7 linked regions of the Oryctolagus cuniculus genome follow. The protein of the gene in region 4 interacts with the protein of the main gene of each other region in a pairwise test. Links are inferred from orthologs where the notes say so. Each region holds a gene or a part of one and is shown on either strand. Other genes may lie near its edges. The genes, in order: EMD, ITM2B, APOD, CREB3, KCNK1, SYNPR and TSPAN2.

Region 1 (4,041 bases), on a different chromosome or scaffold from region 4:
CCTGTGACCATCACCAGTTTGGGCCCTTCAGCCTGGAGCTGATCAGAGCCCTCGCACTTTCTTGTCACCAGCTAACATCTGTGAGGCCAGGACGGCACCTCATCTCTTCATGCACCCACTTCTGTCACTTCCTTTCGACTCCCCAAGGGGACAGCCCTCTTCTGATTAAGACCCTTGCCAACCCAGCCACAGTACAGGAACCTGAGCAAGCCTTGGCAGTCTCTCACGGCTCACCAGGCTCCTCTGCCCCTGCCCGGCCCCCTCCTGGTCACTGGGCTCAGGGCCATTCCGACTGGAGCCCCCTTCCCTTCCACCCAGTACCCCGGGTTGACAGTAGGGTGGGCTGGGAGGGCACACTCCCTCTCCGAAGCGCGCTCTGCCCGTGCCCGCTGGAACGGCCCGCCGGGCCCCTTCGAAGGCTGTTTGCTCCAGGAGTGCCCGCGTCCTCCTGGCCCAGTGCCCCATTTCCTCCCGGGTGGAGGGCGGGAGGAGCAAGGGAAGGAGGGAGGGAGGCGATGGGAACCGATGGGCGCAGGTGCGCAGGCGAGGGCCGGTGCAGGTCAGCGAGGCCGGCCTGGGCCAGGGGGTCCGCGTAGCGCACCCAAAGCGTAGACAGCAGTGGCTGGCCCGAGAGCGGCGCTGTGCAAAGGGTGGCTCCTTCCCGCTGCTGCGGGAGAACCCTCGGCCTGGGATCCCGGGAAAAGGGGGACGACGAGTGCAGGCGCAGGGATGTGGCAAGAGTCAACCGGCCCGAACCACCGCAAAGACACCCACGCCGCCGGCTCCCTAGCTCCCACGTTCTGGCCGGTTTCTACCGGTTCGGGTCGCATAGGCTCCGCCCCTCCCGCGAGTCTAGCTCAGAAGCGCCTGCGTGTGACGTCTTGGCGTGCCCGTCCAGCCCCTTTTCTCGAGCGTGCAGCCCCGCCCACTCCCACGGCCTGAGTAGTCTGAGCCACTTTGGCTCCCACACAGGCCCCGCCCCTCTTCCGCCACAAACCAATCTCGCACGTTTTTGAAATACGAGCTCGCCAGGCCCGCCCCGCCCGCTCCCACAGCTAGACCGGTCCGTGCCGGCTCCTCCTTGTGGTTTGGCTCCGCCCCGCGCAGCGCGCGCAGCCTGCGGAGCCCGCGGCCATGACGGGAGCGTGACGCAGACGTGACGCAAGCGCGGCCGCTCCCGAGCCCTGCGAGGCAGTGGTGTTGCTTGGCCTGTGTCGCCAGGCCCGGGCTGCCCCCAGCCCTTCGCCACCTGCCGGCCGCGCCCGCGATGGACGACTACGCGGTCCTGTCGGACACCGAGCTGGCCGCCGTGCTGCGCCAGTACAACATTCCGCACGGGCCAGTCGTGGGTACGCGGGAGCGGGCGGGACGCCTCCCGGGACTCGCTCTCCCGCGCGCCGTCTCGCAGCCCCCCGGTACCCCCCGCCTGCGTCCCCTACCCAGATTCCCTCCCTGGGCTCGCAGCCCACGACCCTGACCGCCCCGCGCCCGCTGTCTGGTCAGGCTCCACTCGCAAGCTCTACGAAAAGAAAATCTTCGAGTACGAGACCCAGAGGCGGAGGCTCTCCCCACCCAACTCGTCTGCTTCCTCGTTCTCCTATCGGTTCTCGGGTGAGCAGCTGGCTGCCGGTGGTGACAGGGAGGGTGGGATTTCGAGGGTGTGGCGTGGGGGGTGGGTTGCTAGCCGAGAGAGGCACTGCGAAGAAGGGAGGGAAGCCTGGGGGAAAATGGTCTCGTCCCCCCCCTCAATTCAGACTTGGATTCGGCATCTGTGGACTCGGATAAGTACGACCTGCCCAAGAAAGAGGACGCCTTACTTTACCAGAGCAAGGGTAAGGCAAGGAATTGACACCCTTAACACCATCACCCCAACACCTTCACCCACCCTGTCCCGGACCGTGGGCGTAGGGAAAACCTGAGGCCTCGACTCCCCACCAGCCTCAGCGACCTGAGAGGGGCCCCAAAAACGCTGTTTAAATAAGGGTCCCTGGAGCAGCTGGGGAACACGGGTCTGCCCTCTGCTACCAGTGCTCCCTTTTTCAAGGCTATAATGATGACTACTACGAGGAGAGTTACTTGAGCACCAGGACTTACGGGGAGCCCGAGTCTGTGGGCACATCCAAAGGCTTCCGGCAACCCGGGACTTCGCTTTCTGATGCTGACACCTCCCACCACCAGGTGAGCTGCCGTCGGGCACCTCATATCCGGGGGCAGCTTGAAGGGATGACAGCTGGGTTTGGGTAAATCCCAGCATCACTGGGTACAAATGCTAGCTCCTAGGTTTCCAGAGAGAGTTAGGATGAGTTAGGACTTTGCTACGGGGCGTGTCAAGAGTATTTGACTAGAGCACACAGGATGTGGCCTGCACCCTGGTCAGGATCTGAAGTTCCAACTCAGAATCCAGGGGGAGAAAAGAGGGTTCTGGGGTCAGTGCTGTGGCACAGCAGGTTAAGCTACCGCCTGCAGTGCCAGCATCCCATGTGCATCCAGGTTGGAGTCCTGGCTGCTCCACTTCTGATCCAGCTCCCTGCTACTGTGCCTGGGAAAGCAGTGGGGGATGGTGTGAGTACTTGGGCTCCTGCCACTCCCATGGGAGACCTGGATGGAATTCCAGGCTCCTGGCTTCAGCCTGGCTCAGCCCTGGCCATTGTGGCCATTTGGGGAGTTAACCAACAGGTGGAAGATCTCTCCCTCTCTAACTCTGCCTTTCAAATAAATAAGTAGAATCTTAAAAAAAAAAATGTTTATTTTCATCTGCTTGAAACCAGAGCAACAGGAAGACAAAAAGAGAAAGTGAGGTCTTCCATCCCCTGGTTAATGTCCTAAATGCCCAGGATGGGGGCCATGGCAAAGCCAGGAGCCCAGAACTCCATCTAGGTTTTCCACAGGGGTAGCAGGGGACCAGAAGCAAACCAGCCAAAACTTGAACTGGCACTCCGTATGGGATATGGGCACCCTAACTGGCAACCAAACCTGCCACGCCACAATGCCTGCCCTGTCTGGCCTTTAAGCAATGGTTAGAGTGGGCTGAGTAATACGACAGGCTGTGCTGACCCTGCTGGCCAGTCCCGTCACCTCGATTCTGGTCTGCAGGTGCGCAGTGACCATCTTTTCTCTTCTGAAGAGGAGGACAAGGACAGGTGAGTAGTGGGAAGGCCCTGGGAGCAGTGATTCTGGGCCTAGCTCTCCTGGCTCACCTGCTCCCCTCTTTTGCATTAGGGAACGCTCCACATATGGCCGTGACAGTGCCTACCAGAGCATCGCACACTACCGCCCTGTTTCCAACGTCTCCAGGAGTTCCTTGGGCCTGTCCTATTACCCTGCATCCTCCTCTTCTGTGGCCTCTTCGCCTTCTCCATCATGGCTCGCCCGCCGTGCCATCCGACCAGAAAAGCAGGCCCCTGCAGCTGGTCTGGGTCAGGACCGCCAGGTCCCACTCTGGGGCCAGCTGCTGCTTTTCCTGGTCTTTGCTGCCTTCCTGCTCTTTGTTTACTATTCCTTGCAGGCAGAGGAAGGCAACCCCTTCTGGATGGATCCCTGAGGGTCTTGATTTCAGAGCCAGCTCTTTGAAGTCCTGGCTGTCTGCCTTAGTGCAGTGTGTGCTGGGGGTGGGGGTGGGGGCTTTTCTGTGTGTTCTAGCTTTGGGGGCTGGGCCTAGCCCTGAGCAGTGCTTGCTCCCCCTGCCTGCTCCCACCAGGGAGGCAGCAGACTCGGGCCCTTCACGTTCTGGTAGGCCTGGGCGTGCCTTCCTCTGGAGCCTCCTGGCCCTGCTTGCCTCTGACCCTTAGGGCCTGGGAGGGCAAGACTTCACTCCTTCAGAGATGTTGTCATGTGCTCATGCATGCCTCCTGTTCGTTGTCACCTTTTTGAGGTTAACCAAGGGCCACCTCGACTTTGTTTTCGTGGACGCAATAAAGACCGTTTATTTTTAATGTGTTGGCTCTTCCTGCTGGGGGAGAGGCTGGCTGCCATGCTTTGGGGTCTCTGGGTCTTAAGGTTTTTTAAGGATTGTCACCTGGCTTTATTGATTCTGTGGTTTTG
Region 2 (4,288 bases), on a different chromosome or scaffold from region 4:
ACCAAAGCAGGTGGTCCTTAACAGCACACTTTGAAAAATACCAGTAACAGGGGTTATGGCATGTTGTGGTCTAGGAGAGTTAAAGGTATTAGACATTTGTCTCCCGCAGTTCTGGACCATAACTAGCTTCACTTGATCTCTCAACACCAATCAAGGGAAGGAAATGCCCCAGGTAAAACTGAGACTAATTCTGTTCCCAGCTCAGGCAGTCAGACAAGGTGATTGCCACACAGCCACTCATCCCCAAGGAGCGGCAGAACATTATGTAATCACCGCCCAAGCTTGGAGATGGAGAGATCAGAAGTTCTCTCCCAAATGTCTCTCAGCAAGTCAGGTTTTTCCTTTGCATGTAAGTGACTGATTTTAACGATTAACGCAGTGAAAAAATCTGCCATCCACTTAAAGAAAACTCGTGCTTTTCAGCTTAAAGCTGGAAACGGACTTATTTTCTATCTACCAATTCATCCATGACGGCTGTATGGTTACACCGGTCGGGGCGCCGGATTCTGTCCCGGTTGCCCCTCTTCCAGGCCAGCTCTCTGCTATGGCCAGGGAGTGCAGTGGAGGATGGCCCAGGTGCTTGGGCCCTGCACCCCATGGGAGACCAGGAAAAGCACCTGGATCCTGGCTCCTGCCATCGGATCAGCGCGGTGCGCCGGCTGCAGCGGCGGCCATTGGAGGGTGAACCAACGGCAAAGGAAGACCTTTCTCTCTCTGTCTCTCTCTCACTGTCCACTCTGCCTATCAAAAATAAAAAAAATAAAAATAAATAAAAAAAAAATACAAAGGAAGACTCTGGCCCTCATTGCCAGTCCTAGTATTTTTCTTTAGATATGAGAATCTGAGAAAATAACCAGAAAACAAAGCACAAAGCTTCGAATACATAGCTCACCTTTTATAGCTGCTATGACCACAAAATTTAAATATGGTGAACTTGTGAGAAACTCTGAGAACTTCAGGAACGACAGAAACTGTCAAGATAGATTTAAAGCAGCTCAGTAAATGCAATCATATTTGCCCAGAGTTTCAAACCTCCTTCACTACAGTGGAACACAGCAAAGCTGTCTGAAGTGACATCATCCAGTGCTTTCTCTTCTCTTTTTTTTTTAAAAAAAACTGGGAGGAGTTATATCTGTTTATAAGATTTTAAAAATACATGGAATAGCGTTTAGAATAATGTATATATCTGAGTTGTAGTAATTGAGTACTTGACTGTCAACCTATTTTAGACCCAAGGAATATATTAAAGACCTAAGATAATAATTTCCTACTGAAATTTCTGTCTATACATTCCAAACATTTTCTTTTAAGACCAAGACTGTTTACAATGGGCTCAGAAAAACAATACCAATCCTAAACCCCAAACCTTTAATCCTTTTAGGGAATCCGTTCACTGTTCCTGTTTCAAAGCAAGGCAGTCACTTAAAAAAATCGACCCGTGCCAGTTCTGCAGTCCAGATTAACATTACATTTTCAATTTCTATCAGTGGCCTACGTTTCAGGAGTAATTTTCATTAGAGCATATAAAAATTTTTTATCACTCACACCTGGCCCACAGACGACTGTATTTTTAAAAACAAATTTACAGGTCCTGAAAAGTGATACTGAAAAAATAAGCTAAGCGATCCAACTTCTACAGTTAACTTCTGCAGGATGGAATTTCTGCAGCCTAGAGACGATCTGGTAGGCAGAGGTAACTTTTGAGACAATTCCACTCAGCTTAAATGAATAATCCTGCAAGCAACTAAAAGTTAACACAGCAGGAGGATTTCATTAGGGACCCGGGGGCAAATTTCTTTATAGCAGTAGGAGCACTCGGTGAGACGATCTGAAAGCCAACTGTTGGATTTAGCCTCACATCTACCTAACAGTTGACCTTCACTGGGAATAATCGGTTTTCATTGTGAGATACACGGCCAGAACCTACTCCGGGCAGTCTGTCTGTCACCTTGTCCCCCCCCTTCTCCGGACCCCACGGTGAGGTTCACCCGCCAGGACCGAAGGGCCGTGGAAAAAGGCAGTGAAGAGGAAAATGCTTGAAAAAACGAAGACGCTCGCAGTGGCTGGACTTAGTCCAAGTGCTGCTCGGCTAGAAACGAAAGTAGCAAACAACAGAGGTTTAGGCTTGGAATGTCAGCCATTTTAGGGATATTATTTATCCTGGGAAGGGAAGTCCCGGACTCGGCTGTTGTTGTGTTGCTGTCGCCGCCCGGACCCAGGCGGAACCAAGCCAGCCAGCCCGCCAGCCCGGGCCTCACAAACCAGAGGGAACGCGGCGCAATTCTCGACGCGTCCACTCCCGGGCCTGGCGAGCGCCGAGCGCCGCTTCCCTGCACACGCACTTCCCTCACAAAGGAGGGCGAGCAGCGCCCGCCCGCTCCGGAGCCGCTCCCGCCGGGTCCCGCACCCCGCTCCCTCCCCCCGGCTCGGACCTTGCAGTCCACCGCGACGGCGTCCGGGGGGATGATGAGCGCCTCCTCGCCGCTCTTGGGATCGTCCTTCTTGGCCTCCTTCTGGGCCAGAGCCGAGTTGAACGTCACCTTCACCATGGCGCGGCCTGGGGCGCCCTCGGAGAAGGGCGGCGGCGGCGGCGGCGGCGGGCTGGAGGCGCGGGCTGCGGGCTCCCGGCTGCGGCTGCAGCCTCCTCGGCCGGGCTCCGGACGAGGATCAGCGGCGGCAGACGAGACTCGGGCAGCTCCGCGACGGCTGAGGCGGCGACTGCGGCACGGCCCTAGCAGCCACCCAGCTTCAGCGCGAGGGCGGAGACGGCTCGCGCAGCCCCGGGCCGGGGGCGGGGCCGGCGGCGAGGGGGCGGGGCCGGCCCCTTCTCGGGCCCCGAGGCCCAGCGGAGGCCCAGCGGAGGCCCAGCGGCCAGAGGAACGCGGGAGTGGGGTGACGTGCTTGGTTCAAGGGTCGGTCCTTCTCCTGAGTCGCCTGGCCTTTCCGATTCTGAACTCGTTTCTGGCCGGTTTGCCTTGGGACTCAGTGTTGCAGGTTCATAGGAAAATCGGCTGAACTTTCCTGGGTTCGCCGCGTACAATGGATCCACTTTAGGTAGCACCAGGCTGTCTCTTCCCCGGCCGCTGCCCCCGCCCCTCCGCGAGCCTCAAGACCGCGGAATTTTTGTGCGTCCACGTCTCCTTTTGCTCTTAGTAGGAATCCGCCTCAGTGGAGCACGGAAATATTCAAAGCTCTCTCTATCCCTTGGGGTCTGACCTCCGTTCCAAGGACCTCACCCAAGGGTGTGCCTCACGCAGTCTTGTCTTGTTTTCTTTATCTGCCTTCCCCGGGATGTCCGCGCCTGCCCAGCCTAATCCCACAGCCCTTTGGAGGAAGACTCTTAGATCTGTTTCAAACAAATCACACTGGTAAAACAACATGTTCCACGCTTGTGCAGACTTGGGGGGAAAAACCCTGCACACTGGGCTGATTTGTGATTCAAGGCAAATCGGTGCTCGGTGAGGAATCCTTGTTTTTCTGCAAAATGAAAGATAATCTCTTCGTGTCTCCTATTTTGAAGAGGTTTCGCAGAGAAAGCTGTAACAGATACTGGCCAACACGGCTGTTGGGTTTTTAACTAACAACAGATGGCCCCTTGGACAAACGGTTTGGTTTTGTACCATTCTCCCATTGGAGAAGATTGGCCTGGTTCAGCCAGAGTTGTGGGTGTGCTCCAGAATGTTCCAACTATGTCAGCTCTGCCCTGGATCAACCCCAAGAAAAGTAGGTTGAGTTTGAGGTTCTTGGGGATTTGGCTGTGCTCAAGGAGAGTTAGATGTCTTGAAGTCTCCGTAGAATGTCAGATCAGAAATCTCTGAGAAATAGTCCAAGTTCTCAGCATCTTTTCAGAGCACATATTTCAGACACATCAGGGACTGAGAGAGAAATCCAGTTCAGCGCTTTGGTCTTCTTGGCTAATCTGAAATTCCAAAGTGTTCAACGCAGGCTGAGAAGACTTGAGTTCTAGTTCTTGCTTGTTTTAAACAAGCTAGTCACATGATTAGCAGTAACTTACTTGATCTCCCTGGGTCTCCTTTCCACAGGCTTCAACTCTCTGAATTGACCCCGTGAACTGACTTTTGATAGTAAAAATGGAATCCAATTTCTCGAAGTTAGCCATTGCTCCCCACCTCTCTGAGCCCTGCTTGCACGGATTTCCTGGGACATTAGAACTGAAGATTAAGGAATTATTTAAGCAAGCTCCTATGTCTATACTTACATCGATCTGTCAAAGGGCAAAATTACAAATTAGTTTAAAGATTTTGGCTCCATTTCCAATTATAGAATC
Region 3 (4,074 bases), on a different chromosome or scaffold from region 4:
TCCCTCGGTGTGGACAATAACGTGGTAATGGCCTCTTGGGACACCCACGCTGAAATAAGACAGGGCTTATGTCCCCGTTGGCGGTCACATCATTGAGAGGACAGCACAAGCTGCCTGGTCCCCGAGGTCTCAGGAGACCTGAGCCAGGCCTGGCCTCCCAGTGCCCGTGTCCAGTCCCCTGAGCCTTCCTTCCGCTGCTGCCCACGGGTGGCCATTCACAGCATGGCGTGTGCCTAACACGCTAGCACTGTTAACACGGGACCGCTCTGAAATCACAGATGGCTGGGACAGAGGGGTCCTTACTTGTACCTGAGCAGTTAGGCTGTGTCCCCCAGGCCGGGATGCTTACCACGTCCCTCGAGGCAGTCCCTTCGGCAGTCCCTTCGGCAGTCCCCCCACCCCTCCCCCGCAGGCTGCTGAAGTGGATCTGGGATGGGCCCTGCACTCATCCTCCTAGCCGCCTGTTCTTCAGCATGCCTGTGCTCTGCGGGATTTCTCACGTGTCAGCGCCTACTCTGCCTTGGGTGAATTGCAGGACCCCCCCCAGCAGTGATGGGCTGCCTAGCACATGGAGCTGGCAGGGTCCTGAAGGCACAGAAAGAGGAGCCACCGGAGCCACCTTCTGCTTTCTGGGCTTGCAGAGCTGGTACCTCCCTCCCTTCCACATGCAGCTCAGGAGGGGACAGAAGTGACCACCTCTACTGCACAAAGAGGACTCTGAGGCTTAGGGAAGCTGAGGGTTTGCCCAGGACACCACAGCAAAGCAGCTCTGGTTCCTACTCCTCTCTGCTAACTGAGCCCCACTCCGGTCCAGCAACCACATGGGGTGGAGTCCAGACTCTGTATTAGAAAAGGGAACTGTTGACTGTTCATTTACAGAAAATGAAAAATAAATACCAGCTGTTTGAAAACATACTGCAACTCATCTTGCTGGAATTTAAAAGTGCATCTGACTGGAAAAAATTAAATCAAAGAAGTCCACGTAGCAAAAAAGATGTTTTGAATGAAAATGTGCTTTCTCTCCCTGTCTCATTTACATACACACACACACACACACGCACACACAATAACTCCTTGTTTCTTCTTAGGAGAGCAGCTGTGAAGGAAACCGGGGGCAGGGGAATGGACACAACATCCCATCTGTGTTTCATACAGAGCTGGGCTTTTAGGCCAGCTCTCAGAACTGTAGGGGGTGTGGCATGCATGCAGATTAAGGCCTAATGACCCAATGAAGCTTATAAATAACGTGGGAGAAGCCAGTCACCAAGAGAGCTATCTCACGTCGGATGAATTCGTGGACATCACTCTCTTCTTGGTGAAAAAAAAAGGTATGTACCATAGTTAAGTTTTCATTTATGATAAATAATGCTTAAAATAGAAGCAGTCATGGTCTTTCATTGTTCCCTTTCAACTAAAATTCAGAACCACCGATCGAGGGCCTATGTAGTAGCTTTATGAACTTGGTCTCACTTTTTCTTCAAACTAACATACAAGGTAGGTATTATTAGTGCTGTTTTTCAGGTGCCAATACTGAGGCACAGCTGTGATAAGCATCAGGCCTAAGATAAGACCAAAGTCAATGTTGACTCACCCCAAGCCTTCTGTTTATGCTATGCCTTCCCCCTTGTGAATGAAACAATGAGACAATTTTCCACGCACCAGTACCGCACTAGATGAGTTCTCATGGAGTTATCCAACTGTGCATTACAGTGAAATTAAGTGAAACCTGGAACTAACTGTGGGAATAGAAAATGCACTTCACAATATGGCATAGAAATATTTCCTTCCATTCTTGTTGGAGTTGGTGGCCAAGTGGGTTTTTTTTTTTTAAAGATGTATTTACTTGTGGCAACATGTTTTATTTTGTATGTGCAACCTTAAAATCTGCAGCTCCCAGAGATACAGGACTGTGTCCACAGAAACCCCCACGCACCAAGAGCAAGGGCTCTTAGGAGAGCTGAGCTTAAATTCTGGCTTCGCGGTTTACCGAAGGGGAGGAACTGGGGCCATTATCTCCATTAGGACAAAGAGAATATCTGCAGAGATCATTTCCAGATGAGGTGTTGTAGAGACTCAGGGCAGAACACACTTAAAACACTAATGCCAAGCCCTCACCATGAAGAAGATCAATGGGTGTATGCAGAGATTCGCAGGCAGTGCCTGGTCCAAGATAGATGCAGTGTTGCCATAGTGGAATTACTTTTTAGTTATTTAATATTCAATTTAAAATAATATCCAATAAATTCTATCTCCTTTTGAAAGTATTTAAAGCTCTCATTTGGGCAAGAAAAATATAAGTGTATGTCGTATGCAATCTATATGTCATCCAAGGTCATAGGCATACCTTAATAACACGCTCGCTAAGTGTTGGGTGACCCCCACGGAAGGGGAATTGGAAAATGCTGGCGATGCTATCAATCCTGCATCTCACAGGGAGCTCTGACCATGGGAATTAAGCTACTGCAGCCAAGAAGCATCTTTGGGAGAGGTGCAATCAGGGGGATTAGTCTTGTTCTGAAATCCTCCCACAGAGCTAAAGAATATGTTCCAGCCCACCAGGAACGCTTTGTAATAAGACATTTGTCAGAATCAGATGGAGAACTGCCTTTTGTTCTAACTGTCACGTGCTGACGCCACATTCGTCTCAGGTCACAGAGGCAAGTGCTCATGGAAAGACAGCACAGGAGCGTGCACAGGAGGAAGCCGGGGGCCGAGGCTGGAGTCACAGCTTCTCCCCTCGAGGCCTCAGTTTCCCCATCCGCACACTTGGAAGACAGCGTGGGGGGGGGACTGGCTAGGTGCCCTCCAAGGCCCTGTCCATGTTGGGGGGAGTCTTGCAGAACATGCATAGAGTGGCCACCCTCTGCAGTTAGATTCTCTGTACAGGGCACTTGGCTTGGGTCTTCTGAGATGAGCCGCCGAGGTTCTGAGAATCTCTTGAAAATGAACACAGATTTCTGTGGGCTTGGGTTGCATTCCTGCAAGCCCATCATCCCTGAAAAGGTTAAAAGACAGGAGGCGTTTATTTGGTGGTGGGAGCGGATGGGGAAAAGGAGTCTCCCAGAGGAAGCAAGGTGGTGCCAGGCAGACTTCACTGGGGGGGGGGGGGGGTGAGGCTGGTGGGGGAGGGGGCTCTGCTACCACCCCTCCCCCACCAGCCTCAGCTGGTAGCTTTCCCTCATTACATAACCGTTCTTTTGAAAACCAGGCAAGGAAGCCTCCAGAAGACAAGCTATTGATTATTAAAGTTATCTGGAGGCTCCGAGGCTTGTAATAAAGTGGTTATAATTATGCCTGTTATGACACAGCCTTTTAAATGCTCAGATCTGAGAACACTGTGCATGCGTTGACTCAGTCAGCCTCATCCAGGGAGAGGCAAGGAGCTGGAAATAGCTCGTGGCAGCTTAGCTTAGCTACCGGCTAAGCAGCCACAAGGAAGGGAGGAAGCAGGAGTTCAAGGCCAGCAAGTGGGGGGAGGGGGAGAGGTTGGGGGCCGGGCATGATCTCCCTCCCCTAGCGGGCTAACCCTCCTCAGGACCCTCCGGTTGGAACACTTGGCTGCACAATCACCCATCAGCTGAAGGTCCTTCCCTGGTTAAATGCCCAGTGTCTATGAAAAATACTCTGAATAGAATGTCAAAAACAAGGAAGTTTGGGAAATGCAATAATGCAATCATCTGTAGCTGCCTTTCAACAACAACTAGGGATCCCGGAGCACTGAGACTGAAGTACTAGGTCATCTCATGGATTGCTCACAGCTATGAGTGTTAGTCCCACTTCACAGACAGCCACTGAGGCACAGATAGACCCAGGACACTACTGTGCAGCAGAGCCAGAACTCAAGCCCATTCGGGGTGACCCTGGAGGTCCCCCCCCCCAAAACATACACGCCCCGCTCCCTGTGGAGGTCCCAGGCCCACTCTCAGGCTGGCCAACAGGGAGGCCTAAGACTTCAAACCCTGCACACGATTTTGTTTGTTTAGCTTTTCCCTCTCACGGCTTGCTGGAAGGCTTCTCTCGCCCGCTTTACCTGCCGCTGCCCCACGCCGCTGCTGTTCCTTTCTGAGTCTGACA
Region 4 (4,240 bases):
AGGAAGGATGCAACATGCAGAGCTAGGGATGAGAGGTAGAGAGGGGGCTTAACAGCGAAGGAAGGAGGGGAGTGGGAGGCAATGGGACTAAGTCCCGAGGGATTCATTCATCCCCTTCTCTCACACAACGGTGGCCCCTGGTCGGCTTCCCCCTTAGCCACTGCTCTCCTCCTCCCTGGGTGGTCCCCACTGCCTGGGTCCCTGGCCATTGCCCACCTCCCATCTCATACAGAACACAGTCCAGCAATCCCTGCCCCGTAACTGTGGTGGCCACAGCAACAGCATTGAGCTTAGAGAGGAATCGAGGAAATTCTACCTGAAGTCCAGAACCCCAACCCAAAATGTGTCATCTCTCTGGCTGAAAGAAGCTCCTGTGACTAAATAAAAATGAGGGGACTTCCCTCCCCCCCACTCTCTCTTTCTCTCACACACACACACACACACACACACCAAAGGCATCGATCTATTGCCGACCTCTTAAATGTTATCTGCCCAAGGTCAATATTCCTGGCCTGGGTCTGCCCTTAGTGCCCTAATTTGTTTCCTCATTCTCATAGAATCCCCCTCCTAGCAGAGACCAGCAAGCATCCAATCCTTGATCCCTAAGGCTCAACTAATTTTTACCGTTAGCACCAAATCTGCTGACTTTAACCCAAAATGTTGACCCCTAAGTCTAAATTAGCTCACCTGTAACTTGATTCCTAACTCACCTTTTCACTGTTTATCCTTAAAACTGACCACGACAATATCCTATGATCCTTAAAATGGACTTCTAACCTAATTCCTGTTGTTGACCATTAACCTGACCCTGAACTCTTTTAACTCTGACTTACCTCTGGTCATCCCAGGAAACAAAATAACGACCTCAACCTCAACCTCACTTATTTATAAAACGGATCTAAATCACGCCAATAACTCAAGCGTTAACCCCGGCCTTACACCTCCTAAAGAGACCCTTGATTCCCAAACCCAACCCCACCTAAACCCAGACTCATCCACAGCTCTCCAGCCCAACATCCCCGCTATCAGCAAACACCAAAGCCCATCCCCGCCCTGCGCCCCGCGGCCGCCACACTCCTCACCCTTCCCCAAAACCTATTCCAGGCCAAGGACTGCTCCCGCAGAGGAGCCACCTCCCGCAGATCGGCCTGCCGAGACACCCTGGAAGCTGACGTCTCCCCCAGAACCCGCCATAGACGCGCCGCAGTCAGGGGCCGCGCCCGCCCGCCTCCCGGGCCAGACCTCGCGGCCCCACCCCGAGGTTCCGGCCCGGCCCGCCGCGGCCTACCTGCGCTGCCCGGCTCTGCGCCCCGCCCGCCGGCCCTGCTCGTCCTCCGGGCCCGCTCTCCGGCTCCGGCCTCGCCCTCCCTTCGCCACACTCGGCCACTTCCGTCCCCGGCGCGTCCCCCACCCCCGGGCGGCGCCCTGGGCCCGCGCTCTATGGTTTTGGGGACCTGCAGGAAGCTGCTCTGGCCCCAGCTCTCGATGCTCGCGAGCCCGCCGAAGACTGGCAGCCCCTCCCCGGCAGGAAGCCAGGGCGCGGCGCAATCCGGAGAAAACACCCCAGCGGCGCCCGAGTTCCCTGTTACACTCGGACTCTTCCTTTTTTCTAGCTCGGGGCGAAGGCGGAGGCGAGTCGCCGGTGTCCCCGCCCCCGGGGCGGGGACGTCCCCCTCATTTGCATCGCCCCCGGGACGTGGCGCAGCACCCGAGCCACTTCCGGCTCGGAGGGAACTACAAGTCCCGAGAGGCCGCGGGGCCGCGTGCGTCACTTGTGCTGTGTTGGAGGCCGAGGGCGACGGAGTCCGGCGGGTGGGTGGGTCGGGCTTGACAGCGACTGCCGCCCCGGCAGCGGGGAAGGCCAGCCGAAGAGGAGCGGTGGGTAGGCGGGAGAGACCCGGCGGTTGGGCTGGGGGTCGTGCCTGGGGCTCGCGTATTGGAACCGGGCTGCGAAGTGAACCCTTGAGTTTCTGCCGTAGATGTCGCAGATGGAGCTGGCGTTGGACCCTGGCGATCAGGACCTGCTCGGCTTCCTGCTCGAGCAGAGCGGAGCATGGGGGGAGGCAGCCGATGAGTCGGTGGAGGCGCCCCCGGATTGGGAGCTGCCGCTTTCCGAGGTGGGTGGGTAGGGCTCCGCGTCAGGGAGGCGCGGCACGTCCGCGAGACCCGGGTGTCAGTGACAGGCCAGGGCCTGGGAATTTGAACCCGGTGCAGGTACTGAGCGACTGGGAGGCAGAGGATCTGCTGAGCACCCTGCTGAGTCCCCCGGCGTCGTTGGCCGACCTCAGCTCCTGCGAGCCCTCGCCTGTGCACCACGATCACACTTACTCCCTCCCACAGGAGCATGTCTCCGTGGACGTAGGTGAGTGACATCAGAAAAGTTGGGAGCTAGAGGAGAGGGTCCGTGGGCCCGGCTAGTCACAATTGCCCTTTTGCAGATAGTGGGAGCTATGGGAAGGAGGAGGCTCCGATGACTCCGCTGTATGTGGAGGAGCCAACAGAGCAGGTAGCTGACTTGATTTTCAGGAGGCTTATCCCCACATTGCACGGGGCGGGGCGGGGCGGGAATTCCCATTTCTTTCGGACATCCCCATGCAACTGCTGCCTACTTCCCCGTAACCTCAGGAGGTTGCTAGGCTGGTACTGACCGAGGAGGAGAAGAGGCTACTGGAGAAGGAGGGGCTTACTCTGCCTGGAACGCTTCCTCTCACCAAGGTAAGGCTCCCATTGGTGGGGCAAAGGCTGGAGGGTGTAGGGGAGGGAGAGTGCAGAGAGGCTGGTCGACCTGTACCGGAATGCAGTCAGATAGGAGTCACTTCTAACGTTATGCTTGGTAGCAGCTGCATTTCAAAATAGCTAGCAGAGAGGATATTCAGTTTCTGATTCAAAGAAATGATAAATGTCTGCAGTGATACATGTGCCAGTTACCCTGCCCTACTTATTTTTACATTGTATACATTACTTAAATGTCACTCTGTATCCTATAGATGTGTGTAATATCAGTGTCAAAAATAAGATACACTTAAGAGGTGAACATCTTAGCAGAGTTGTTGGTTAATATGCTAGATGCAAGGGTGGATCCTGGTTTTGTGAGGCTTCTAACACATTTTGGTGTTCTAAGAAAAAAGATTTCAGAATTATCAATGCAACATTAGCGTAGGGCCTTGGGCAGGACTGTGCAAGGGAAGGGCTCTGCCACTTGGAGTTCATCGGCTTGGTGGTAATCTACATCGCGCTGAATGGGAGAATTGTTTTAGGGAGTTCAATGAGGCTGGATTAAGCCTTCTTTTTTTTTTTTTTTTTTTTTTTGACAGGCAGAATGGACAGTGAAAGAGAGAGACAGAGAGAAAGGTCTTCCTTTTGCTGTTGGTTCACCCTCCAATGGCTGCTGGGGCTGGTGCACTGCGCTGATCTGAAGCCAGGAGCCAGGTGCTTCTCCTGGTCTCCCATGGGGTGCAGGGCCCAAGCACTTGGGCCAGCCTCCACTGCAGAGAGCTGCAGGCCATAGCAGAGAGCTGGCCTGGAAGAGGGGCAACCGGGACAGAATCCGGCGCCCCGACTGGGACTAGAACCCGGCGTGCCGGCGCCGCAAGGTGGAGGATTAGCCTAGTGAGCCACGGCGCCGGCCTGGACTAAGCCTTCTAACAGTACAAATGTAGAAGCATAAGTTTTAAGTTTCAACACTGGGTGGTGACTTCACAAGCACAGTATTGTGACCCTGTAATAAAATAAGTACTTATTAAAGAAATTTTAACTTCTTAAAAGTACAAGATGAGTCAGCAGTGAGATATGGCAAAGCAAGTGGGATGTGGAAGCAGCGTCAATACATGCATTGTCTCTAAAAAGGCAAGACTGTCTTGCTGTCTTTTGTACAAATCACAGTGCATTTTAAGTGCCCAGTTTTGGGCCTGTATCTTTGACAGATACCAAGAGGATGCAGTGATGGTGAAATGTTGGGTTAAGAAGTCTGTCCAGGGTTTTTTTGTGTGTGTGTTTTTTTAAACTCTGAGGAAATGCCAACAGCCTTAAAACAGCTATGTAGAATTTTGTTCTACACGACCCCAGAGATAAGTTCAATGGATAGAAATTACATGGAGGCAGATGTTAATTCAGGGTAAGAAATTTTTCAGTGAATGAAATTGTTAAAAATGCTCTGGCACCTGTGATCTTAACACCTGGTCTTTAGAGGCATTCTGATGGAAACCAAAATGGCTACTGGTTAGGGAGGCTAGACAAGGGA
Region 5 (4,254 bases), on a different chromosome or scaffold from region 4:
ATGTGCGCATGCACCTGTTATAGGATGACTTCCAAGAACACTGTCTTTATAATGCCCATCAATGCTGTCCTAGACAAGTCAAGGATGGATTATGCTGATGCACTCACAACTGTCTCAGCGACTCAGCACCAATGGGATGAGAAGAGTTTTAAAGGCAATTTAAAAACACATGGCTAATAGCCACCTGAAAAAATAAAAGCGATTCCAATACATTTCAGTTCACATAAAACAATGTCCTTTTCCAGGACATTTTTTTCCTTAGTAATTAAGTCTATCAGCTTTGCTCTAAAAATTGTCTGAACTTCTGGCACAGAATCAGTGTTTTGAGACCAAAGAATCTCAACTTAGTCAAATAATGGATGAGTACAAAACTAATAGGAGAGTATCTTTCATTCAGACTACTTTTATTCATATAACAACAGCTTATTGACCCACTAGTTGTACAAACCAAAAGGCACCTTTTTCAGTTAGTCTATCCTTACATGTCCCTTGCCCTGATTTCCTAAATGACCTCTTGTTTTGCATGAATGCAGACTTTCTTAGGAACTACAATGTAAACTGCATACCAATAATAAGACATTTATCCCTACCTCCATTTTTACAGCAGCTACATTTTTGTTAATTTAAAAGGGGGGGGGGATTATCAAAATCAAATTCATTTTTGACACTGAACTAGGTCCACACTGATGACAGTATATGAGCATCATCAGTGATAGCAACACTCAACAGTGCACTACCTAGCACTGTTCTATTCCTGTTCCATCTTCAAAATACCATTACTAAGAAAACACTAAAAGCTGTCATCGTTGTTCAAAATGTTTACCCAACACTGTGACCTGGCTGTAAACATTCAGCAGCCCAGTGGAGACTCTCACTTCTGGGAAGAATGAATGAGTCTCAATCTAGCACAGACATGAACCAAAAGAAAGGCATGGCAACTTCTAAGCGGTCTGAAAACAGAGCTAGAGAAAGACAACAGAGACAGAATTTGGCAAAAGAGTACACATTCTTTGGGAAGTGAGGTAACAGGTCTGTCTTGTTTAAGGATACCTTAAACACAGTTTTAAAAACATCACAATAGCAAGCTAGAATTACACTTCTATTTTAGGAAAAATTCACATCGGCTTAGTAATTCACCCCAGACTCACGAATAATTGTTTTATGTCATCTACTGTATTATTACTCATCACCAAATGATTACCAAAGCAAGCAACTAGGTATAGCCCAAAGAGGATTATAAGCAAATGAACCCCAGGAGGTGGACAAGAGGCGATAATCCAGGAAGTGTCCTAGTCCTAACCAAAGGGTTTGTTGAATCACCTGGAAGGGTGGAGGCAGATGGAGGGGTTACAATGTGTTCCAGGCAGGGAACTCCCAAGGCCCAGACGCCGGGAGTACATGGGTAAGGAAGATGTGTGTGACCTTGTGCACACCAAGACGGGCCATTGTAAGGACTGGATCTCACGGATGCAAGAAGGGACTGTGCCGGAGGCTCGCCCGGCGCCTCCGTCCAGGTGTAGAAGCCTGGCAAGCCACAGCCAGGGAACCCGGGCCTCGGTTCACCTCACCGGGCAGGGTCGGCGCCCTGTGGCAGGCGCCTCTTCTCCTTCACGCCGGGACGCGCCTCCCTTCCTGAGCGTCCTGCGGCTGCCGCTTCCAAGTTCACCCGCCAGCCTCCTCGCACACTTAAAAGTTGAAACACCCGCTGAACCAGGGTGCCCGCATTTTGGCAGATCACAGGCCATCGATGTTCCCTCGCCTCTCCTCTCCCCACCCGTCCTACTCTGAAAAGAAACCCGATCGACCGGTGAGCTCAGAGGTCACGCGCCAAGGGCCCAGTGATGTCACCCGGCTACCCCAAACTGCCTACCGGGCACAAAAGAACCGAAATAGGTACGCTTGAGCGCAAGAGAGGTCACCCTTGGGAAGGTGACCCGTAAGCATAGTGTCCTCAGACTCTGCGGCCGCAGGGGCCCTCCTGAACCAGGGCAGGAGGAGGGTGAGCGCCAGCGAGCACTGGCCGGTGTTTCCCAGCCCACTAGCTGCGCTTGGCTGCCAAGGGGCTATAGATCCAAACTCCAAGGCCCGGCGTAGGGTATCCGGCGGCAGGAGGCACCTGCGGCCGCCCAGACGGAAGGGCGTAGGGACCACTTCCCAAGAGTTACGAGCGGCAACACCCAAGTCCTGTTCCGCGTCCACCTCGTGGTTTCCGGCTCGCAGCACCTGCCCTTCCCGAGTCACTGCAGCAGGGACCCGGGGAGGGACCTGGGAACCTGGGAGTGGGCTGGAGGGGCCTGAAGCGCCCTAGGGGTTGGAGGGATGGAGAGCCGGGGGCACTCTAGGGGCAGGTGCTCTCAGGCGACAGGCGGGCCAGGGGAGCTGGGACAGGGGTTGTGGGGCGAGGTGGCGTTCTGGGGGGCCTGCGGCGGCCGCCTACCTGTGGTGGACAGCACGGTGCTGGCGAAGAAGAGCGCGGAAGCGAAGTCCCAGTTCCAGTTGCCCGAGGCGTTGCTGCGCACCGACACGCCGTAGTTGTTGGCCTCCAGTACCCGGCCCAGGAACTGTTCGAGCTGCTGCTCCGACAGGCACTCGTGCTCCTCCACGAAACGCCGCTTCAGCTTGCGCAGCTCCTGGCGCAGCAGGTCCTCGTAGGGCAGCTCCACCGAGGAGAAGACCACGGCACCGAATACCAGGTAGAGCAGATAGCCGAGAACCAGGAACCCGAAGCACCAGGCCGAGCGGTGCCGCTCCACCAGGCGCACGCACGAGCTGCCGGCCAGGGACTGCAGCATCTTCGCCACCGCCGCCGCCAATGCCAAAGCCGAAGCCTACGCCGCAGACCGGCCGGAGCGCGGCCTGCCACCCCCTCCCGCCCGCCGCTCGCGCCCCGGCTCGGCCCGGCCCGCCGCCTGCTGTCCTGCGCGCTCGCCCGCCCGCCACGCTCCTCCGGGCGTCTCCCAGCGATTGGCTCCCTCCGGCGCTGTTTTTCTTCCTTCTTTTCCTGTTTCCTCGCAATATAAAAAGCCCAGATGATGTGGCGCTGACGTGGTTGCCGGCTCAGGTAACCCGAGAGTCGGCGCGCAAACTTGGCCCGAGCGCCGGGCCGAGGAGACTCGCCCGCCCCACGCCCGCTCGCAAGGGGTGAGCCGGGGACTCGGTGAAGCCAGACCCTCTCTCTGCCCGGCCGCCTCGGGCTACTCCCGCTCCTTTTTGGGGGCCAGGAACCGAACCCCAGCAAACTGCTCCGGGAGAGGAGGGTGGGAAATCTCGGGTCAATGCGCCCGCGGACCAAGCCCCTAGTGCCAGCTACTCTCGCTTCCCCACGTATTTCCTCCCTGTCAACCCCCAAAGCAGCGCCGGGACACTTGCCTTCTCTGTCTCATTGGCCAGACAGTGGAGCAGCCTGGTGCCAGAGCCTCCTTGGATGCCAGAAGTCTCCTCCCACCCACGCATCCCCCTCCCTAGGAGGACCTGAGGGAGGCCCTGGTTCTGAACTCTGATTCTTTAAGATGTGACCTTGGGTTTTACCGTAAAGAAAGTTTCCAGTGGGTCAGTTACTACAAGAAACAGCTTCCCCCGAGCGTTTCTTTTTAAGGGCGTGAGAGCCTTATTGAGTTAAAAATTGTGTCCCCTTTCTGGAAAGGTAATTCGGCGCTGTTTCAGAGCCTTGAAAGAGTATACATGTCCTGGGTGGGGTGTCCCAGAAAAAAAACAGTCGGAGAGGCCACGGGTTCTATGTAAGTTGTCCATAAACATCGATACATGCACGCATGTGATACACATTTATGAAATAATGAAGAATCAGAAGCATTCTAAATGTTCCCAAATAGGGTGAACCGCTGCCTCACCCTTATCCCAGGGTACCAGGGGCTGCCCTCAATGTGGAAGAAAACTCAGAAGAGTGCAGAGATTCACAAGGGTGGAATTGGCATGGGGAAGAGGATGTTAAGTGAGTGGGAGCAAGGCTGCCTCTGATTTATTCATCAGAGTTCCTGCGAATTGACATAACCTGTGGAATAGTAACCATGCTTTATAAGAAACAAACTCTGCACTGGAGGATGACATAAATGATCAGTATTGTGTTGCACGATAATTAGGCTTAAATAGGCATAATTATCTCAATGGGTTGACATGATGAGAATAATTTGTAAACATGTTAGCTCTGTAGGCAAGTCTTTGACTTGGGCTCAGAAATTGAAGTTCACAAATGCAGGATTGGGGATATTCAATCAGCATCAAGTATAAAAATTTAGC
Region 6 (3,500 bases), on a different chromosome or scaffold from region 4:
AGTTGGAAAGGAGTTTCCTGTCACAAGGAACTAAAAGGCTCTTCAGGGACATAGATACATACCTACAAGCACAACATATGATTTGATTTTAATATGACTCTCTTTTTGGTTTTACAAGCACATCATTTTGTTTTTCACTCATAATTCCTATTTCAATCTAAAGTTTATTAGAGATATCAGAAGTGGAATTAAAGGGAACATACAGGGTCTCATAATTTATTAGGAGATGATTGGACTAAGAGATACATCAAGTAATTTGATTTTTGTCCCTTTATGCTTTGAGATCAGAGTGACAATAGCTTCTATTAAACACTGTCCAGAAACAAATGACAGAATAATAACTATATTTGTTAATGCATACCTTGAACTATTCATATGCATATATGGCCAATAGTTAATAAAAAGTTTCGAGACCCTCGTATATAGTTTATTTCCATGGTTACCATCTCACCAAGGCAGGATTCAGTCAAGTCATCAGGACCAGAGTAGAAACATTTTCCCCTTTCTTAACTGTCTTCCCAGATTGAATTTGAGAAAGCTGTACAAACACAGGCTAACCTTGAAGAAAAGATAATTTTTTCTTAGGGTTTACTTAAGAATGCTGTTGCTTCAACAAACATGGTTGAGCCTTGTATCTGTTGATGACTGCTGCTTTTCCCGGCCACTACAGTTTATGTCTTTGTGAGAGAGAGCTTCTCTTTTTAGAATAACACAAGTTTTAACACTTATAAATTAAGAATCCAATTTAGTGTCCCTGGTGTCAGCTTGTCTCTCTTTGTTAGAGCTAAATACTTGTTAATAATATTTGACTTTGTTCAACTACTATAATGCCGATCTTCTAAAATCATCAAGTAATTAAACTGGGAGCACAGAGAAGACAAAAATACATTACCATAACCATTAGAAGTACCTTTTAATACCATGTACTGTATTTCTTTTTGTAGCCTACTAGGTCTGTGTTTTTTTCTTTAATCAATAAGGTGTGATCTACATGTGGCTTCATGTTTCTTCCCAGGAATAGACTTCTATTGCCATCACATAGTCCTTTCAACTTCTCTGACAAGCTTCAGGATTAAAGCTCAGATTTTACATTTGCTTCTGGCTGGAAATTTTGACTTGACTGTTATCTAAACAGCAGCTGCTAATACCTGCTGTGTACTCATTAAGAACTCTGCAATGGGTGGCATTCAAGTCTACGGCTTCTCACAATAAAGAATTTGAAGGCCAAAGCATCACATTGCACCTGAGGTGAAAGATCACCTCTTTGAGAGGTCTAGTTTTGGAGGCAGAAATTTCCAAGATGACTTCTGAGATACTAGTCTTACTCCTTTGACACACAGAGATTTGGGAAGGAAAGCACACATGCAAGCCTACTCACCACGGAAGTGTTGAGGCTGGACATGACAGGGCTGTGGACAGCCATGCATTTGTTGGATGGCTGTTTGCAAGCTGACATCAGTAATAAGACTTCCTTGGGGTCTGTTGCAACTTTGACATCAGATAGTCCTTTCGCCCAAGCAGATGAACCCACCAACCACAGGAAGGAAAAGACTACGGTGACGATGAAGTCCTACAGAAACAGAAGAGAGCAAACAGCAAAGGGGAACATGAATTCTAAAAGCAAATGGTTAAGTTTATGTACTTATTTGGCCTTTTGGAAACTTAGAATATTCTGTAACATTGGAATAGAGGAAACATGATGAAAAACAAAGAACAGAAGGTTTATGATACTTGTATATAAATAATTGTAGTGTTTATTCAATGCTTATTATGTCCCAGGAGTAATGCTAAGGACATGATAACCATAATCTATTTTTCTCATAGCATCCTGTCAGGGAGTTTTTACCATCATCCTATTTGTAGATTACAAACTCAGAAAACAGTTGAACAACATGTCTAGAACATGAAAGATAGGCAGGGAATGTATTGGGATCCAATACTGAGTCCAACCACTTAACTAAAATGCTGTCATGATCTCAAATATGTAGAGAGACTTACCAGTTGTTAAACACTTCTGGATGTCACTACTTACTCATTTATTCACTTTTTAATTCAGCAAACCTACAAGTTATTTATTGCAATGCCTGCAGATGTGTTTAAAAAGGTGGGAGACAATAATAGCTATGTGTTCTAAGTGCTTACCATGGATGAGAAGTTTTATGTAAAATTTTCCTTATTATAATCCTTTTATGTAGTTATATATAACATCCATTCTAAAGATAGAGAAACTGAGGCTCAGCTACATAAGGTAACACATAGAAAGTGGTGGAGCCAGAGTTGAAGTCTGATGTGTTTGGCATCAAAGCCACCTGTTGTGTGTGCAGGGGAAACAAGTTTCTTGGCCCACATCATACAATATTTCTGTATGTAAGGCAATGACCATTTCAGAGAACCAGCATCTGTGTACTTCCAGAGGGGGCTAATTCCATAGCTTCCTGTTGATTCCAAGAGGTGGCTAGTGGAAGTCACTTTCTAAGGGGTAAGCAGAGTATGTTTCACTGACTAGGACAATTTTCCAGATCACCTGTATTTTTTTTTTTATTTTTTATTTTTTATTTTTTTTTTAACTTTTATTTAATGAATATACGTTTCCAAAGTACGAATAATGGATTACTATGGCTTCCCCCCCATACCGTCCCTCCCACCCACAACCCTCCCCTTTCCCACTCCCTCTCCCCTTCCATTCACATCAAGATTCATTTTCGATTATCTTAATATACAGAAGATCAGCTTAGTATACATTAAGTAAGGATTTCAACAGTTTGCTCCCACACAGAAACATAAAGTGAAAAATAATAGATGATTTTTTTTAATGATGATGAAATCAGATCAGACCTATTGTCATGTTTAATCCCAGTGAGAGTCAAGTTGGGAGTTGATAGTTTTCTTTTTTTTTTTCTTTTTTTTTTTTTTACAGAGGATCAGTTTAGTATGCATTAAGTAAAGATTTCAACAGTTTGCACCCCCATAGAAACACAAAGTGAAATATATTATTTGAGTACTCGTTATAGCATTAAATCTCAATGCACAGCACATTAAGGACAGAGATCCTACATGAGGAGTAAGTGCACAGTGACTCCTGTTGTTGACTTTACCAATTGACACTCCTGTCTATGGCATCAGTAATCTCCCTATGCTCCAGTCATGAGTTTCCAAGGCTATGGAAGCCCCTTGAGTTCTCCGACTCTTATCTTGTTTAGACAAGGTCATAGTCAAAGTGGAGGTTCTCTCCTCCCTTCAGAGAAAGGTATCTCCTTCTTTGAAGACCTGTTCTTTCCACTGAGATCTCACTCACAGAGATCTTTTGCCAGAGTGTCTTGGCTTTCCATGCCTGAAATACTCTCATGGGCTTTTCAGCCAGATCTGAATGCCTTTAGGGCTGATTCTGAGGCCAGAGTGCTATTTAGGACATCTGCCATTCTATGAGTCTGCTGAGTATCTCACTTCCCATGTTGGATCACTCTCCCCTTTATTTATTCTATCGGTTAGTGTTAGCAGGT
Region 7 (4,068 bases), on a different chromosome or scaffold from region 4:
CCTGTTCCCAGGGAGAATTCAGAAGGTCAAAGGGGGAGGGGCATGTGAAGTTACTGTTCAGTGAAGATGAGCTCCAAGTCGCTTCGAGCACCTGTGTACGACCCCTCGCCATGAAAGGGGTCAGGGGAAAGAGAGCTAACATTATGGAACGCTTCCTACATGCCGGCACTGAAAAATGAAAACAATGACACTGAACACTTCTTGTGCACTAGGTTCATAGGAAGGTGAGGGCAGATACTTCATACGATTCCTGTTAATCTTCTCAACAACTCCGGTACCAGCTAGAGGAAAGAATAACTTGCCTAAGAACACCCTTCTTGGGCTCTCTGCTCTCCAGCCTGCTGCTTCCCAGGCCAGACGGCAGCTCACTGGCCCCTGGCTCTGCCCCTCCACGGGTGGCTCACCTGTGCCCACCCCCATCCCACCAGTCCCACATGTTCACCCTAACATGTCCTTTTGTAGGAGTATTCTCTGGGTTCCGCCAGTGCTCTGACCCTTTCTGTAAACTCCTTAGTTAGAGCACTTACAAGGTCATGGCTAACCTCATTGGCTAACAGTGGAGCCACTCAAACATTCCTCCGTTCCTTCTTGCCTGCGTTCACAGACCACAGTGTGAAATCTGTCACGTGGCAACAAGCTGTCTTACTTTTTGTCATTGTTCTATATGTATCAGTCGTGTCTCCACAGCTAGAGCAGCAGCTGGGTGGACAGTGTCCCACATTCATAAATCATGTCTTGCCCGTGAATTGTTTCTAAGAGTGGTTCCCAAACTGGAGCATGGGTCAGAATCGCCTGCATGGTTGGCTGAAACACTTGCAGGGTCCCATGAGCTGAGAGTGTGCTTGTCTGACAAATTCCCGGGAGATGCTGAGGCTGCTGGTTGAGGAGCCACACTTTTGAGAACCCCTGCTTAACGGAACGCCCCACGGTGTTGGAGAGCTGGTAGGTTGAGGGGAGCCCTGTCTCTGCCCTGAGCTGGGGGATCTTGGGCAAGTGAACCTGTTCGAACCTCTGTTTCCCTATCTGCAAAACGTGGGGATAACAGTAGTAAGCGTGTGATGACTTACTACTACTAAGAAGTAATAATACGTGTAATAGTGAAAGGAGTGCGCTTAGCTCTGTCCCTGACCCACTGCACACGTTCAGTCAATGCTTCCAGTTGTGCCTGGGAATGCTGGCACAGCATCAGGCGATGGATAAGCACAGAACCCAGCCTACAAATTCCTTCTCAGGCTGTTCAAAACCTCTTTTGATTTGTAAGCATAGAGAATGAAGGGTGTCACTACAGCAAGACATCTATTATTCACGGCTTTTGAAATTAAGGCAGGCTACTAAAAAATGCAACATACGGGACTCTGCCATGGCTCTCCCTGTAGTACGCTGGAAATAAATACCAGGTGTACAAATGCCACGTGCCTCTTCAAAACGCAGGGGCTGCCTGTTGTGCGCCTCCTGTCTACTCGCCCCTGCTGCCGGCTGCTTGGGAGGCCTCTCGGCCGCAGCAGAGCTTGGAGCTGCCGGAGGTCCGGAGCCTTCCTGGCTAATAGGCTGGCAGATGGGAGCGGGACCCACTGTTCAATAATTCATTGGCTGCAGTCATGCGAAGACAGCCTCCTCAGAGCAGATAGGAGGACCTCACCTCCAGCCCAGTGGGTTCAAAGCACCCCCGGGGCCCTGCTGCTTCCTCCCGGCTCCAAGAACCTCTTCACCCAAAGGAGCCCTCTGTGAGACCACCTGAGACCTAGCACTGGCTGGTGCTCTCTTAGGGAAGCCCACGAAGGAAGGTGCCAACAACACAGTTTTCAGACCTGGTCTTACAGTCCTCCAGAGCCCGGGACCAGGTGTCCTGGCACCTGGGGATGGTCTAGCCTTGGCCGTGCCCCAGGAATACAGGAGCCACGCGTCATAGCCCTCCCTCTCTGCGAACCACTAATTCTGGGAATGGAGTCAGTTCAATAAAACGCTGCAAACTTGAATGAGATCATCTCTGGGAGCGTTAGTGCTTAGCAGAGGCTGCGGGCTGTGGGCTGGGGCCTGGGGGCAGATGTCTCTGGGAGACCCCTCCATCCCCCACCCCTGTCACGGAAGAGCACCCACCACCACCCCCCATCCGGCAGCACCCTCCCCTAATGCTCAGAAGAAGGACGACCCTGCCCCCATCCCTCACCGTTTTCACTCCTATCCCTCAGTCTCCTCCACAAAACCACCAGGAGCCAGGGGGTGCGTCCACTCGCTACGGAAGGGGTACCACCCCCCGCGGCTCCAGGCCAGGGGTGTCGCTTCCAACACCCGGCCTGGCTGGGCACGGGCAGGATGGCAGAGAGAAACGGGGGTAGCACAGGAGGCCGGCGGATCTGGGGGCCGCCCCGGACCGAGCCTGGGCAGGCGAGGAGCAGCACCTGGTGGCTCCGCTGTGGGATGCTACCCCGGGCAGAGGGCTCCCTCGTGGGGAAGAGCCACGCCGCCGCTGCCCTTCTCCCGTTCCCTTCTCTGCCTTCCCTTTGTCTGCCTTCTTCTCGCCTCCGCCGTCTGAACACCCTTCCCTTGCCCGGAGCCCGGCTCGGGACGCCGCAGCGGTCAGCTCCCCGGGGACCCCGGCCCCGCGCCCGCCGCCCGGCCGGCCCCTGCCCGGCCCGGCCCTCCCGGCTCGGCTCTCACCCAGAAGAGCAGGTTGAAGCCGAGCAGCAGGTACTTGATGCACCGCAGGCCCCCGCGGAAGCGCCCCATGCTGCTGCCCCGGCGGCGGGCTCCCGAGTCCCCAGGCCCGCGCTCCGAGCGCCAAGAGCGGCGGGCGCCGGCGGGGAGGGGGCGGGGCGGGGCGGGGCTGCGGGGGGCGGGGCGCGGGCCCGGGGAGGGGGGGGACCCGAAGCGCGGAGGCCGGCGAGCGGTGGGGGCGCGGCCAGAGGGGGCGCGTGTGCTCCTCCCACGCACCCCGGGGCCGCCCCACCTCCCGCCCTGCCTTCCAGGGAGGACGCGAACTCCGCGGGGAAGGGGCGTCGCCTGCGGCCGGGGCTCCCTGGAGGCCCGAGGTGAAGGTGGAGGGTTGAGGACGCGGCCTCGGTGGCCATGGAAACCCAGGAGGGCGACTCCGGTGCTAGAGAGAAGATAGCCCGAGGCCGCGCTGCAGCCGGCCGCGCGCCTGCCGGTGCAGCCGACCCGGGCCCCGGGCCTGGGTTCGCGGTGCGGTGCGGGCGCGCGGGCTGCCAGGCGGCTCCCGGGGACCCTCCCCCGGCCGCTCCGGCGCCCAGCCGAAGCCTCTTACCTTAATAGGCAAGAACTGCGAGAAGGCGGCTTCTCGCAGCGGCTCCCCCGCCCCGGCGGCCGGTGCAGGGGTGGTGGACTCCCCGCGTCCGGGCTGGATTCGCCGACGGGAGAGCTGGAAAGCCGTTCAGATTCGGTGATCTGAATTGTGATGTGGAGAAGGGAGGAAAGGGGGCGTGTTTTGCTTTGCTTTGTTTTTACTAAGCTGGGCTGCTGGCAGGAAAAGGAGGCTCCCACTCCTTTGTACTATCTACAATATGTGGTGTCAGACAGTATACAGGAGACAGGAAAGTGTGGAATCCACCAGCTTTTGCATTGATTCAGCTAAGCTTTAAACGTCTGTTACAGGTCATGCGTAGCAGCCAGCCCCAGGGGTGCAGCAAGGAGGGGACAGCCAGGCCTGGTGCTGGTGGTGAACCCAGATCTGTGAGTACATAAATAGGGCAAGGTGAGAGGGCTTGGGTTGGTGCTGGGCAGGCACCACCTGTGTCGCAGTGCATTGGCCAGGGAAACTGTATCAGTCTGTGTTCTGTTGCTACAACAAAACACGCGAGAGGCTGGGTGATTTGTAAGGAAAAGTGGTTTTATTCAGCTCACCGGTCTGGAAGCTGGAAGTCCAACGTCAGAGGCTCTGTCCAATTTGGCCTTTGACCTGCAAGAAGGAGCCACTGCATAGCTAGGCAGGAAGCCGGAGACCAGGGAGGGGCTCTTCTGTAACAACTCACTAACTAGGGGTCCCAGGAGAACTCCCTTCATCCCCTTGGAGAGCAGGACCTCCTGAGACCTCCATTAGGCACCACCTCTTTA

What was found.
Region 1: the proteins of CREB3 (region 4) and EMD interact in binary tests that used the Homo sapiens proteins (3 or more experiments, as listed by UniProt). The two-hybrid records come from large-scale screens. The link is inferred for Oryctolagus cuniculus from reciprocal best matches to the Homo sapiens genes CREB3 and EMD.
Region 2: the proteins of CREB3 (region 4) and ITM2B interact in a two-hybrid assay, tested with the Homo sapiens proteins (2 studies listed by BioGRID and IntAct). The two-hybrid records come from large-scale screens. The link is inferred for Oryctolagus cuniculus from reciprocal best matches to the Homo sapiens genes CREB3 and ITM2B.
Region 3: the proteins of CREB3 (region 4) and APOD interact in binary tests that used the Homo sapiens proteins (3 or more experiments, as listed by UniProt). The two-hybrid records come from large-scale screens. The link is inferred for Oryctolagus cuniculus from reciprocal best matches to the Homo sapiens genes CREB3 and APOD.
Region 5: the proteins of CREB3 (region 4) and KCNK1 interact in a two-hybrid assay, tested with the Homo sapiens proteins (2 studies listed by BioGRID and IntAct). The two-hybrid records come from large-scale screens. The link is inferred for Oryctolagus cuniculus from reciprocal best matches to the Homo sapiens genes CREB3 and KCNK1.
Region 6: the proteins of CREB3 (region 4) and SYNPR interact in a two-hybrid assay, tested with the Homo sapiens proteins (2 studies listed by BioGRID and IntAct). The link is inferred for Oryctolagus cuniculus from reciprocal best matches to the Homo sapiens genes CREB3 and SYNPR.
Region 7: the proteins of CREB3 (region 4) and TSPAN2 interact in a two-hybrid assay, tested with the Homo sapiens proteins (2 studies listed by BioGRID and IntAct). The two-hybrid records come from large-scale screens. The link is inferred for Oryctolagus cuniculus from reciprocal best matches to the Homo sapiens genes CREB3 and TSPAN2.

The regions. Positions count from the first base shown.
Region 1 is NC_091453.1:132,604,237-132,608,277, forward strand, and holds EMD (emerin), read left to right. Parts: upstream 1-1,267; coding exon 1,268-1,349; intron 1,350-1,503; coding exon 1,504-1,611; intron 1,612-1,754; coding exon 1,755-1,832; intron 1,833-2,044; coding exon 2,045-2,178; intron 2,179-3,093; coding exon 3,094-3,140; intron 3,141-3,219; coding exon 3,220-3,541; downstream 3,542-4,041. UniProt on the Homo sapiens protein: Stabilizes and promotes the formation of a nuclear actin cortical network. Stimulates actin polymerization in vitro by binding and stabilizing the pointed end of growing filaments. Inhibits beta-catenin activity by preventing its accumulation in the nucleus.
Region 2 is NC_091440.1:67,251,882-67,256,169, reverse strand, and holds the start of ITM2B (integral membrane protein 2B), read right to left. Parts: upstream 2,801-4,288; 5' UTR 2,550-2,800; coding exon 2,433-2,549; intron 1-2,432. UniProt on the Homo sapiens protein: Plays a regulatory role in the processing of the amyloid-beta A4 precursor protein (APP) and acts as an inhibitor of the amyloid-beta peptide aggregation and fibrils deposition. Plays a role in the induction of neurite outgrowth.
Region 3 is NC_091435.1:84,039,948-84,044,021, forward strand, and holds the start of APOD (apolipoprotein D precursor), read left to right. Parts: upstream 1-1,274; 5' UTR 1,275-1,327; intron 1,328-4,074. UniProt on the Homo sapiens protein: APOD occurs in the macromolecular complex with lecithin-cholesterol acyltransferase. It is probably involved in the transport and binding of bilin. Appears to be able to transport a variety of ligands in a number of different contexts.
Region 4 is NC_091432.1:198,639,632-198,643,871, forward strand, and holds the start of CREB3 (cyclic AMP-responsive element-binding protein 3), read left to right. Parts: upstream 1-1,440; coding exon 1,441-1,878; exon of another isoform or gene 1,879-1,882; intron 1,883-1,979; coding exon 1,980-2,117; intron 2,118-2,214; coding exon 2,215-2,362; intron 2,363-2,438; coding exon 2,439-2,506; intron 2,507-2,625; coding exon 2,626-2,715; intron 2,716-4,240. UniProt on the Homo sapiens protein: Endoplasmic reticulum (ER)-bound sequence-specific transcription factor that directly binds DNA and activates transcription. Plays a role in the unfolded protein response (UPR), promoting cell survival versus ER stress-induced apoptotic cell death.
Region 5 is NC_091444.1:53,016,388-53,020,641, reverse strand, and holds the start of KCNK1 (potassium channel subfamily K member 1), read right to left. Parts: upstream 2,801-4,254; 5' UTR 2,793-2,800; coding exon 2,438-2,792; intron 1-2,437. UniProt on the Homo sapiens protein: Ion channel that contributes to passive transmembrane potassium transport and to the regulation of the resting membrane potential in brain astrocytes, but also in kidney and in other tissues.
Region 6 is NC_091441.1:86,155,172-86,158,671, forward strand, and holds part of SYNPR (synaptoporin), read right to left. Parts: intron 1,571-3,500; coding exon 1,379-1,570; intron 1-1,378. UniProt on the Homo sapiens protein: Intrinsic membrane protein of small synaptic vesicles. Probable vesicular channel protein.
Region 7 is NC_091438.1:55,278,106-55,282,173, reverse strand, and holds the start of TSPAN2 (tetraspanin-2), read right to left. Parts: upstream 2,801-4,068; 5' UTR 2,728-2,800; coding exon 2,659-2,727; intron 1-2,658. UniProt on the Homo sapiens protein: May play a role in signalling in oligodendrocytes in the early stages of their terminal differentiation into myelin-forming glia and may also function in stabilizing the mature sheath.